Drosophila melanogaster: one gene and its partners. The gene in region 1 interacts genetically with each later gene. Each region holds a gene or a part of one and is shown in the gene's direction. Other genes may lie near its edges. The genes, in order: Sk2, ifc and Calx.

Evidence for each region.
Region 2: of Sk2 (region 1) and ifc, changing one enhances a phenotype caused by changing the other (phenotypic enhancement), as found in Drosophila melanogaster (one study listed by BioGRID).
Region 3: of Sk2 (region 1) and Calx, changing one suppresses a phenotype caused by changing the other (phenotypic suppression), as found in Drosophila melanogaster (one study listed by BioGRID).

What each region holds. Positions count from the first base shown.
Region 1 is NT_037436.4:3,045,130-3,048,884, forward strand, and holds the start of Sk2 (sphingosine kinase 2), read left to right. Parts: upstream 1-1,957; 5' UTR 1,958-2,060; coding exon 2,061-3,037; intron 3,038-3,516; coding exon 3,517-3,755. Other genes in the region: scramb2 (scramblase 2), read right to left, coding at 1-2, 594-1,087, 1,508-1,622.
Region 2 is NT_033779.5:5,984,771-5,988,525, forward strand, and holds the start of ifc (infertile crescent), read left to right. Parts: upstream 1-1,577; 5' UTR 1,578-1,724; coding exon 1,725-2,122; intron 2,123-2,307; exon of another isoform or gene 2,308-2,724; intron 2,725-2,845; coding exon 2,846-3,413; 3' UTR 3,414-3,755. Other genes in the region: eIF4A (eukaryotic translation initiation factor 4A), read left to right, coding at 1-172, 256-400. UniProt on the Drosophila melanogaster protein: Has sphingolipid-delta-4-desaturase activity.
Region 3 is NT_033777.3:20,976,534-20,980,288, forward strand, and holds the start of Calx (Na/Ca-exchange protein), read left to right. Parts: upstream 1-1,649; 5' UTR 1,650-2,587; intron 2,588-3,755. UniProt on the Drosophila melanogaster protein: Na(+)/Ca(2+) antiporter that couples the energy of a Na(+) electrochemical gradient to the movement of Ca(2+) against an electrochemical gradient across a membrane, which contributes to the regulation of cytoplasmic Ca(2+) levels.

The sequences.
Region 1 (3,755 bases):
ACCTGTGCGCGGTTAAAGGGGCGAGAGATGTTTGCGTTTCGCATTAATCGGTTCGCAGTTCGCGGCATCGCAATTAATTGACTCGCTCTGGACAGTCAGGCATGGCTAACCATGACGTCACTGCCTCGGACTGCAGTCTCTTTGCTTCTGTACGATCACAGCAGCGGTCAGTAAAAGGGCTCATAGATCGGCACAAACACTTGGTGCATTTTAGCCATAAAAAGTATAAATTGATTGATTGATTTTCCTATATCTAGAGGCATCTGTTAAATAACGTATACAATTGAAAATTTAAAACTAGTGTGGGTGCTATTAATTTGAACGCTTCTGTCTGTTCATAATTATTTAGAATATATGTATATAGGCACTTATAAATGTTTAATAATTAAAAAAGCAATTAAGTGGACGCCTGATACTGTTCATTTTGGAATTTTATAAAGCTTCGTCTTTGACTGATGAAGACCATACATATGTACTCCTCCGAAGAATTTAAAGCTAATCCGCTGACCGCTGCTGTGTGTGTATACACTTGTTTGGGCATTGGGAATCGAGATCGAGAGCCAAGAATAACCACTTGTTGGCTGCGTACTGACCTTGAAGTTGGTATCGCTGAAGCACTTGCAGGGACAGACGGGTCCCTCGATCTGCAGGACGGTATCGCCGCATGTGTTCTTGATGTTGAACTTGGGCCGCATGAAGGTGCAGACCTGCTCAACGCTACCGATCACCTGGCCGGGTGGCGCCGACACCTCCACGGCGTTCATGCAGCTGGGAAAGCAGCAGAGGATGTCGCACTTGAAGGGCCGGTACAGGTGGAGCACCTCGTTCTGAAAATTGTCCAGTATCTTCATCTCGAAGGGGCGCGACCGGCCGAGCATGTTGCGGGTGCAGCAGTCGCTCTCCTCGTACGCGAAGTACACATTCTGGCCCAGTGAGTTCTTCACCTTGAAGCGGTTCTTCGTCTCGAAGCCGGTGAGCAGCTCCAGTTTCTCGATCTTCTGCGACACGAGCAACTGGTCCAGAGCGGTCAGGTATTCCAGTCCCTGCGGGCAGTTGGGCATGCCCACGGGTATCGACATCCAGTTTTCTGCAATGGGGCGTTGTTCCGGATTAGCTCCCTATGTATTTATATTTATCTATATGCATAAAGTGCTTTTCCGATATCTATGCATGGGTAAAGGAAATTAGCATAGCTACAATGGCGGTCAGGCGATTAGGGCCAGTGATAGCAGTTCTTAACATAAACTAATATTTTAAACAATATGTATTTACGTATTGACTTGGAATCACTTCACTTTTTGGTACATTATAAAATATCTTTTTTACATAGATAACTATGGGTGCTATTGCCATGCCCGCTGCTGTACTAAATGCCAAGAAAGAGACGACGGCATTTCCGCCTTTCGCACACGCCCACTAGCCCACACAGACGCGCGCAACCGACTAGGTCCATCCGAGTGATGGAATTCAACAGTGGACAAATCCATATATGTCCATCGCTACGCACCAGGTCCGTTGGCATTGTTGCCAACATTCGCCGCCTGCGGCTGCAGGACCACTGCGCCATTCTCGTCCTGCGGTGCATTCTGCGGGAGCACCTTGTACTCGCTCATCTGCATCATTGTTATTCCCAGCAATTAAATTCGTATCGGATTCTTTAACAGTTCACAAAACACTAAATGCAGGGTGACCGCGTTGCGAACGCCGAAAAATGCAACGCAAATGCACCGTACGAAATATTCTGTCATATATTTTGGTATTTATTCGAACACAGAAAAATATCAACAAAAAGCTTTCAGCACTCAATGCAGTGACAAGTTAAATTTGTTATGAGCTGACGTTTTTGTGGATTCATTTGTATTATTGCATTGTATTGCAATAGTTTCCTTAAGCTAGCCTCTTTAAGTTCTAAGAATTTTGAGTTTATTTGTGCCAGTTGGTATATTCGCGCCTGCCACCGACGGTAACACTGCGGCTATGATTGGATGATAAGCGATCCATAAAAGCCTGGACACAAAAGACCTGAAACATGCTGCTTGGCAGCCGAATCTCCAGTCGAAATGAGCGAATCTCTTGATAAGACCACCAGCCCGAGCTCGGCCAGTTCCAGGGCCACGCCCCCGGGAACGCAGGATGCGGATGAGGGCCACGACGTGAGCGATACCTTCTACACGAGCCAGCGCAAGAAGGGCAGCCACGTATTTCGGGTGCGCCTTGACGCCACAGGATTCACCCTGCAGCGGGAGTCGCCGGGCGGTAGCATTGTTAAGGAGCAACATGTCCGCATATCGGACATTGTGGGTGCCCGCTGCATGCGGCCCAAGAAGAGCCGGCGCCTGGCGATGTCGGGCGCCTGTGCGTGCAGCTCCGGTAATCCCAATTCGCCAGCCATCTCGGCGTCCGGCGATCACCATCGCCCTGCCACCACACCAAGCAAATGCAGCACCAATAGTCGGGATAATATTCCTTCGGATGGCGGCGATGTCAGCGCGTTTCTCTACGTTTTTGCCTATGTTCTGAAGAAGAGGAGCCTGCGGTCGGAGTTGCACCGGGAGCGAACGGTGCTCACTCTGCGCTTCCGGTCGTTCGACACCTTCGAGGACAACATGAGGGAGGCGGATCGTTGGTACAGATCCCTTCGCTGGCAGTTGCATCGCACGCTGGAGGAGATCTTTGTGGCGCCGACGGTGGATGAGCGACGCCGTCGAGTGCTTGTGCTGTTGAATCCCAAATCCGGTTCCGGTGACGCTCGTGAGGTCTTCAACATGCACGTGACGCCGGTGCTCAACGAGGCCGAGGTGCCCTACGACCTGTATGTAACCAAGCATTCCAACTTTGCCATCGAGTTCTTGAGCACCAGGTGCCTGGACGCCTGGTGCTGCGTGGTGGCTGTCGGCGGAGACGGTCTCTTCCACGAGATAGTCAATGGACTGCTGCAGCGCCAGGACTGGGCCCACGTCCTGCCTCATCTGGCACTGGGAATCATTCCTTGCGGCTCCGGAAATGGATTGGCCCGCTCCATTGCCCATTGTTACAAGTATGTTATCTTTGTTTCATGTTTCATTAGGAAAAACCCCCTTTTGACTTATGTGGATCTTCATATTTCGTGTAAAACAATCCCTCCAGCGTCTAGCCATGCAGTTTATCATTAGATTACATTCATAAGCAAAAGTAGTTTTCTTATCGTGTCAAATGGTTTTGTTGTTTTGCAAGTGGGGATATCCCCTTAAAGTTAAATTGACGTCAGACTAGAACAAACTTTCCACATCGTTAAGTAATTGCCCCCCAATTTCGTTCAACATTTAGTGGCATATCATCGAACTTTGAAATCTTTATGTTCTTTCTTTATGTTCATCTATAGCTCAACTTCCCGATAAAAGAGTATAAAAAGGGTAATAGAAAAGAATGTTTATAGACTTTAAAACCACATTCAGGTGTCTCATATCCGATCTATTGGTCGTAATCCGATTATCAGTCTTGTGTTGAAACCTATTCACTTGAAACCTTTCTCCCCAGCGAACCATACTTCAGCAAGCCAGTGCTAGGAGCTGCTCTGACCGTAATCAGTGGACGCAGTTCACCCATGGACGTGGTCCGGGTGCAGCTGCAGAGTCGCTCCCTCTACTCCTTCCTGTCCATCGGCTGGGGTCTGATCTCGGACGTGGACATCGAGAGCGAGCGCATTCGCATGTTGGGCTACCAGCGCTTCACCGTGTGGACCCTCTACCGTCTGGTGAATCTGCGCACCTACAACG
Region 2 (3,755 bases), on another chromosome or scaffold:
TGCACGGCGACATGGAGCAGCGTGATCGCGAGGTCATCATGAAACAATTCCGTTCGGGCTCGTCTCGTGTTCTGATTACCACTGATTTACTGGCGCGCGGTATTGATGTGCAGCAGGTGTCGTTGGTCATCAACTATGATCTGCCCTCGAACCGCGAGAACTACATTCATAGGTAAGTGCTCACCACCTCGCCCCTGAATCTACTCAGCTATGTGCTATACTAAACATGATACCATCACTTTCAATCTATTTCAGAATTGGTCGCGGTGGTCGTTTCGGTCGCAAGGGTGTTGCGATCAACTTTATTACAGATGATGATCGACGAATCCTTAAGGATATTGAACAGTTCTACCACACAACAATTGAGGAAATGCCTGCTAATATTGCCGATTTGATTTAAATTTTTTCTGCTGAGCCGCAAAACAACTAAGAAAGAATTCTAAACAAAAAGTGAGTGAGCAAAACAGCAAACAAGAACTGCGAAATCGATAACCGAGCGCAACTATAAATTATTCAAAGATCAACAAGTCAAGTTAAATATTTATTATTCAAATATTAATTCGAAAAGGCAGCCGACCGACCACCCAAAAAAAGGACTAAACCAGGACAGAGCAGCAACATCTTCAGCAGCGGCGCAGCAGCAGTAACATCAGCAGCAGCGGAAGCGGCAGCAACACCACCACCAATTGCCGATTAGCCGGAACCCCTCTGTATCCATTTAGTTCTCTGTGTATCATCAATTTTAAAACTGCGTTGTCAACCAGCAACAACAAATATATACAAATATATAAAAAAAAAAAAACAAAACTTAAAACAACATTTGCATCTATCTAAAAAAAGTAATATCTGAAACCAGGTACAAGATACCACTTGCTAAGAAGAGCGAGGAACTAAACGCAAAAGCCACAATATCAGAACACCTTTTTGCCGCACCTTTGTTTTAGCTTTTTCTAGAACTATTGATAAAAATATATTAAAACAAAACAAAATACATATGTACACATTATGTTTAAATATACCACTCCTAAAAAACAGCTGACAACCGAAGCAACATTTTACGCTAAACACGAACACACAGCGAATCCACCCAGATCTATAAATGTATTAACATATAGCTATATATCTTTCGGGGTATGGCCAAAAAATATATGGTTGCCGCTATTGGGTGTATAGCATGAGTTGATATAGCTGTGGATATATACAATTGGGTGGTATTGTAGATTATGTTTAACAAAGCGGAAGTAAATTCCTTATCTCAAAACAGTAGAACGAAAATGGCTGTTTTTGAAAAGTTTTTATGTATCTGTTACGTACGGTTTGGGTTAACCTCATATTAACCCAAACCTTTTTAGCCAATTTCATAAGCTTTCGCTTTAAAACCAGCTCTCTAAGCAAGATGAGTTCCAAAAGTTAAACTAATTTTTTAAAACTTTCAACACCACTCCACTGCATATACTTTTAAAACGAAAGCGCAGTGGGTAAGTTGCATTTCGTTAAGCCTTCACATCAACTTATCGGTTGAAATTCTGATAACAAGCTATCGATAATCTATCGATTCGACTCGCAGCCCTATCACGTCAGGTCATATTAATTTTTCAATCCGCCCAGTTGGATGTTTGGACAGTTTCCTTCCTCGCGCCGGTCGATAATGTTGGCCAACTAACACCGACCTGTAGCACGTCACCCGTAATAACCCATAACCGCAACCAGTCCAAGCATCCAAGATGGGACAGAAAGTTTCGCGCACCGACTTCGAGTGGGTGTACACGGAGGAGCCGCACGCCTCGCGGCGCAAGATCATACTGGAGAAGTACCCGCAGATCAAGAAGCTCTTTGGCCACGACCCGAATTTCAAGTGGGTGGCCGGCGCAATGGTGCTCACACAGATCCTGGCGCTGTTCGTCGTGAAGGACCTGTCGTGGTCGTGGCTCATCGTGGCCGCCTATTGCTTCGGCGGCATCATCAACCACTCGTTGATGCTGGCCGTTCACGAGATCTCGCACAACCTGGCCTTTGGACACAGCAGACCTATGCACAACCGGATCTTGGGCTTCATCTGCAACCTGCCCATCGGGTTGCCCATGAGCATTTCCTTCAAAAAGTACCATCTGGAACATCACCGGTACGTGCCAATCGGTTCGAATTCATACCCTAAACCGCACCCTCACGCACACATGGGCATTAACACTTTTCTCTGGGCAATAGGGCGTAGTCACACAGTAAACAGCGAAAACATCATCCCATTCCGCATTTATCCATTTAAAAGCCGGCTTGTGTTGTTCAACACTGATTGCTCTCCATTGGGTTTCATGTGAATTTTCACCCCGCAAACTTGTGAATCAGTTTTCATGTTGTTCCCTTTTGCCGGGCATCGAGTGCGTCTTAATTGCGCCGATTAGATAAGGTTGTAGTTATATGTGTATCCGAATAGGCGCTCAATTGGTCACGTAGCTCAGTGATTTGCCACTCGACTTCTCGGCTGCAAGTCGCGTTCAGTTGAGTCACTGCTTCGCCTTCCGCAAAAAGTTCCCGAAATATTATTCAAACTAATTTTATGAGTGTTGTTTATGTTTACAGTTACAGTCATTCACTATGTTTCTAGTCGTAGATAGTGTTTATCTTATCGCCCAGGTGCACCATTGGGCGGATCATTGATTGTCGTTCAACAACGTCCCAATCCCAAATGTTCGCTTCTCAGTCCCAACTAAGTCTAAAATAAGTCATGTACGTAAATCATCACAAACTATCTGCATTCTAAAAAAATTATATTGCTAACTACATGCTATGCATACATTGTTCACCGTTCACCAGCTCAATAAACTGTAACGTTTATTTGTCCTTTCAGTTACCAAGGTGATGAGGCAATTGACACTGACATACCCACACTGCTGGAGGCGCGCCTGTTTGACACCACATTTGGAAAATTTCTGTGGGTGTGCCTGCAGCCTTTTTTTTACATTTTCCGTCCACTGATTATTAACCCGAAGCCACCTACACGCCTGGAGATTATTAACACCGTGGTGCAGCTAACTTTCAACGCCCTGATCGTTTACTTTCTGGGCTGGAAGCCACTGGCCTATCTGTTGATCGGCAGTATTCTAGCAATGGGACTGCACCCGGTGGCCGGACACTTTATCTCGGAGCACTACATGTTCGCCAAGGGCTTTGAGACGTACTCCTACTACGGTCCGCTCAACTGGATCACCTTCAATGTGGGCTACCACAACGAGCATCACGACTTTCCGGCGGTGCCCGGCTCCAGGCTGCCAGAGGTTAAGCGCATCGCTAAGGAATTCTACGACACAATGCCACAGCACACCAGCTGGACCCGGGTTCTGTACGACTTCATCATGGACCCAGCAGTGGGACCTTACGCACGCGTGAAGCGACGCCAGCGCGGCCTGGCCTCCTAAGCCATCGATGCTATTCAAGGTTTCCTGCCATGAATGTAATCTCAGCGTTAGACCTAAAACGGCTTTTTTATGTATATATACACCGTAGAGACATTTACAGCGGATGCAGAAGAAATAAGGGGAACAACCACACACATAGCACCAGCTAATCTCTGTGATTAGATAAGGGGCATTCGGACACTTGCAGCGGCTGATATGAACAATTACGTGGATATAGTTTTTGGTATTATTGCTAGAGTGTGAGCTTAGTTAGGTTCGTTGGCCTAACTGAGAGGCACTTTCGAGCGCTTTAATTAATTGTTACCTCATAAATTGGAAAGCCTGTTAAATCTAGTGTGTAAT
Region 3 (3,755 bases), on another chromosome or scaffold:
CGTGTTCACCCCTGCCGAATGAGTTGGGATCCGTAACGAAAACAAACAGAAAGCGGACGAAAAAAAATGGACGCCAAATACAAGGTAGCAAAAGGTTGTGAGCGCACACACTGGCACACATGTTCCTGTACTGTACTGTACTTACAGCAATGGCGTGCAGCGTTTGCTTCTCTTTCGCTACTTTTGCTGCTTTCGCTGCTGCTGTTTCCATTGCTGCGTTTATATGGCCATAAGGCTAACGCTATTGTCGCGGCAGGTCTCTCAGGGGCAACATGGGGAGGTCGTTGCGACAGCGGCAACATTTGGGTCTTATTAATTTCCGTTTTGCTTATTTATTTTTACGACGCCTCGCACAGCTCGCCATTCGGTTCGCAGTTCTGGGCCCGTCAGCAGCCGAACCGCCGAGCCATCCAGGTCCCCAAATTCTAACGCAGTCGCCATAGTCAAAAGAACATTCGTAAGGAATTCCACCTTTAAAGCCCCGGTGATACCCTACGATTATTTAGAGAGGCATATTACACAACCGTAGATGGGGAGTACTAAAATGTTAATTCATTGCTTAATTCGATTGCCTTAATTTGCTGCTTTAGCTTTGATTTAATACATGAATTATAATAATAGAAGAGAAGAAGATTACTTTAAATTAGGAAAACTGATTTATAATTAGAAAAAAAAAACTACAAAATATTATTATTTAACTTTTTAAGTGAAGTTTTTATGGCGCGGTATTAAAATATGTATAGGTATTAAAATAAAATGCATAAGTGACTTGAAAAAGTTCGTAGGCGTGATGCTGCATAGAGAGCCAAGTAAAAAGGCGCAATCAACTAAATCAAAATTATACAGGGGAAAGCCATTTATCCGGTAAAACACATACCAATTAAGTTATTTTTAAAAGCTGACTTCAATGCGATCAAAAGCTTTCTAGCCAATTTGAGTTGGAATTGGCGATGTACTTCTCAAATTTGGTTTTGAATATAAATAAATATATATATTTAAATAAAATGTATATGTTGAGATCAATACTGTACTTCAACGCGTGAATAATATCATATTTTAAGCTTAAGAAATTATAAAACAATACAATTTTCAGAAATAAAAGATTTGGCCACGTGAACCTTTATTGGGTGTTGAAAATTTATATTTTTTTGCACCCCGATCTGCTAGTAATCACTTTCCCTAACGGTGCTTATTGTTAATAGACTATTTTCCAAGCATAGAGTACAGCAACTTGTTTCCAACCGACTTAACAGGGGCGTCAAAAACTTATGCGCTTGCTTGTCTAAGACAGCGGGTGGTAGAGGAGGGGGTGTGGGTGTGGGCTATACTAACCAGCAATGCCTCTACACCACCCTCCCCGCCAAACCTTTACACCCCCTGCGAAATGCGCCACTGCAACGAGAGGAAGATGGGGAACATCGGAGAGCGACAGCGAGAGAGAGCGGCGCAGTTGTTATCGCCTGGCCAGTGTTCCACTGCCACTCTGTTCCTTATCCTGTGCACTTTCTTCCTTATCTGTCCCGCTTTCACCGCCCTCGCACTCGCCACTCTCACTCTTCGTGTGCATTTCGGGTGCCCTTCGTGTCGCGACAATCGGCATTTTTAAAGAGGCAGTCGGCCAATGTGGCAGTCGGTTACTGGCTCGCAGGTTAGTCTTTCATTATCCGGCGTTTGAGCGTGTAACGTTTTCTCCGTGATTTCCACACGCAGCAGCGGTAAATACAACAACAACGACAACGAAAGAAGCAACCAAAACAATAACAACAACAATAGAAGAGAACAGCGGCAAACGGTTTTTCGCTGCGCTTCTCCTATTTTAAGTGCCGAGCGTTTTACTATTTTTACTACACAGCGAAACATACACAGATACACATATATACAGAAATATATGTAGGTATTTGTTGATGTGTTTGTTGTGCTTCAGTCAACAATAAAAACAAAAACAGTGTTTAAAGCTAGTGAAATGATCTTCCATAAATAAATTTTCAAAATTAATTTGAGAGCAAAAATGAATTGAAAGAAAATGCCAAGAAAGTGCAGCAAAAAATCAACAACGATGCTGTCGGAGAGTCGAAACTAGGCTAAATATCTTTGCATACTTTTGGGAAAGTTGTGCGGTACAAACACACACACCCGTTCGTAACACACACACACAGGACCTGCGCCTGCGGTCGCCGACTTTTGAACCTGTTTTCTGACCATTGACCATTGACCACCGACCGCCGTGCCGGCCGCCTCTTTTCACTTTTGGCAACGCGGACTGCAGCAGCCGCTGCAAAAAATGCAACTGTAAAGGAAGCTGCAAGAAAAGGAAAGGATGTGCACGAAAACGGCATAAACCTACAAAACTAGCCAAAAGAGTTCAGAGCGGTGCGGTTCAACAGCCTCCGGGTGTTCGTGTCAAGCTCGAAATTCGCAAATTCGGCGTCAGCTTCGTGCATCTGTATCTGTGTATCTGTATCTATATCTGGTGCATCTGTGTGCGGCCATTCTGCAGTTGCAGCTCTGCAGCGGCGAAAATTGTGTCAGCAGCATCGGCAGCGGATCCTGCAGCTCGCCACACTGGCGCCTCCATCTCCGATTGCCGGTAATGTATTCGTTTTAGGCGCATTCTACCCAAGCACGACTTAATCATACGCCACATGTGAAGTGCCGTGCGGTATGGCTAAGGCATTACGCATACGCCCCGTGTATGTGAGTATGAATAGTGCGGGCGGTCTTACCTTGACAACGGACGGGGGCAGTCCGTGACAATTGTCAGTTTGTTTTCCCATTTTCGTTTTTCTATCGATTAAGCCCACTGGCCCCTCGTTCGCCCTTTGTCTGCGAATTAGCGACAACTTCTGGGCCAAGCAGCATATGGCTATGTCCACCGTCTTTGTCTAACGCCTAATTGAGTCTTTTGTGAGTATCAAGAGACGAGCAGCACCGCAGAAGAAAAGAAAAGCAAATGGGGAATCCAGTTGACATCGGCATAAGTTCGAGTTTTAAGTTCCCTTGTGGACAGCTGGTTTTTGGGCTTTCTCGACTATCACATACCATAACTGCAATGGACTTTTTTTGGATCATTTTTCAAATTCTGGGCGTTACATATTTTCTTGATCATGATCGACTCGGCTTGTGATCCGGAAATGTATTTACTGTAGAGGATATAACTAACTATAAATAAAGCTGTATGGCATCCTAGCTTTGATTCTTACACGCTGTAAGAAACGAATGTCAGTAAGGGATATAATGTTAACATTCCAAAAGGCACGTCTCCCATATGAACATATAAAGTATATTAAGACTCCCAAGAAAAAGTAAAGAACTTCGCCAGAAAACGTTAGGCTTATGATTTCAGATTTCAGAGCATTAAACCACAAATGATTATTTATATGAAGTATATTTTACTGTCCCGCTTAGATGAAATTTTTCGCTTATACTGTAGACAGTGCCTAAAGTATCATGCCATCTGATAGGGTATCCATAGAAAGGAACCAAAGAAAACAATCAACACGGAGACTAGTAAACAATTGAAAAGCAAAAAACCCGCGACTCCTGCCCAAGTCGGCCAGCCCCTTGAGTTCTTTTTTCATTCATAGGACGATGGGTGGTAGCATTTGCCTTTGTCAATATCATTCAAGCTTTCATTCGCTTCACTTGCCTGACATTTGCTTACCATTTCAGTTTAGAGTTCACTTTGTTTCCCTTTGTACAAATAAATAGCCATTTATTCATTCACTCGGTTAAGGGGCTCCTTTTCACTGACCAAT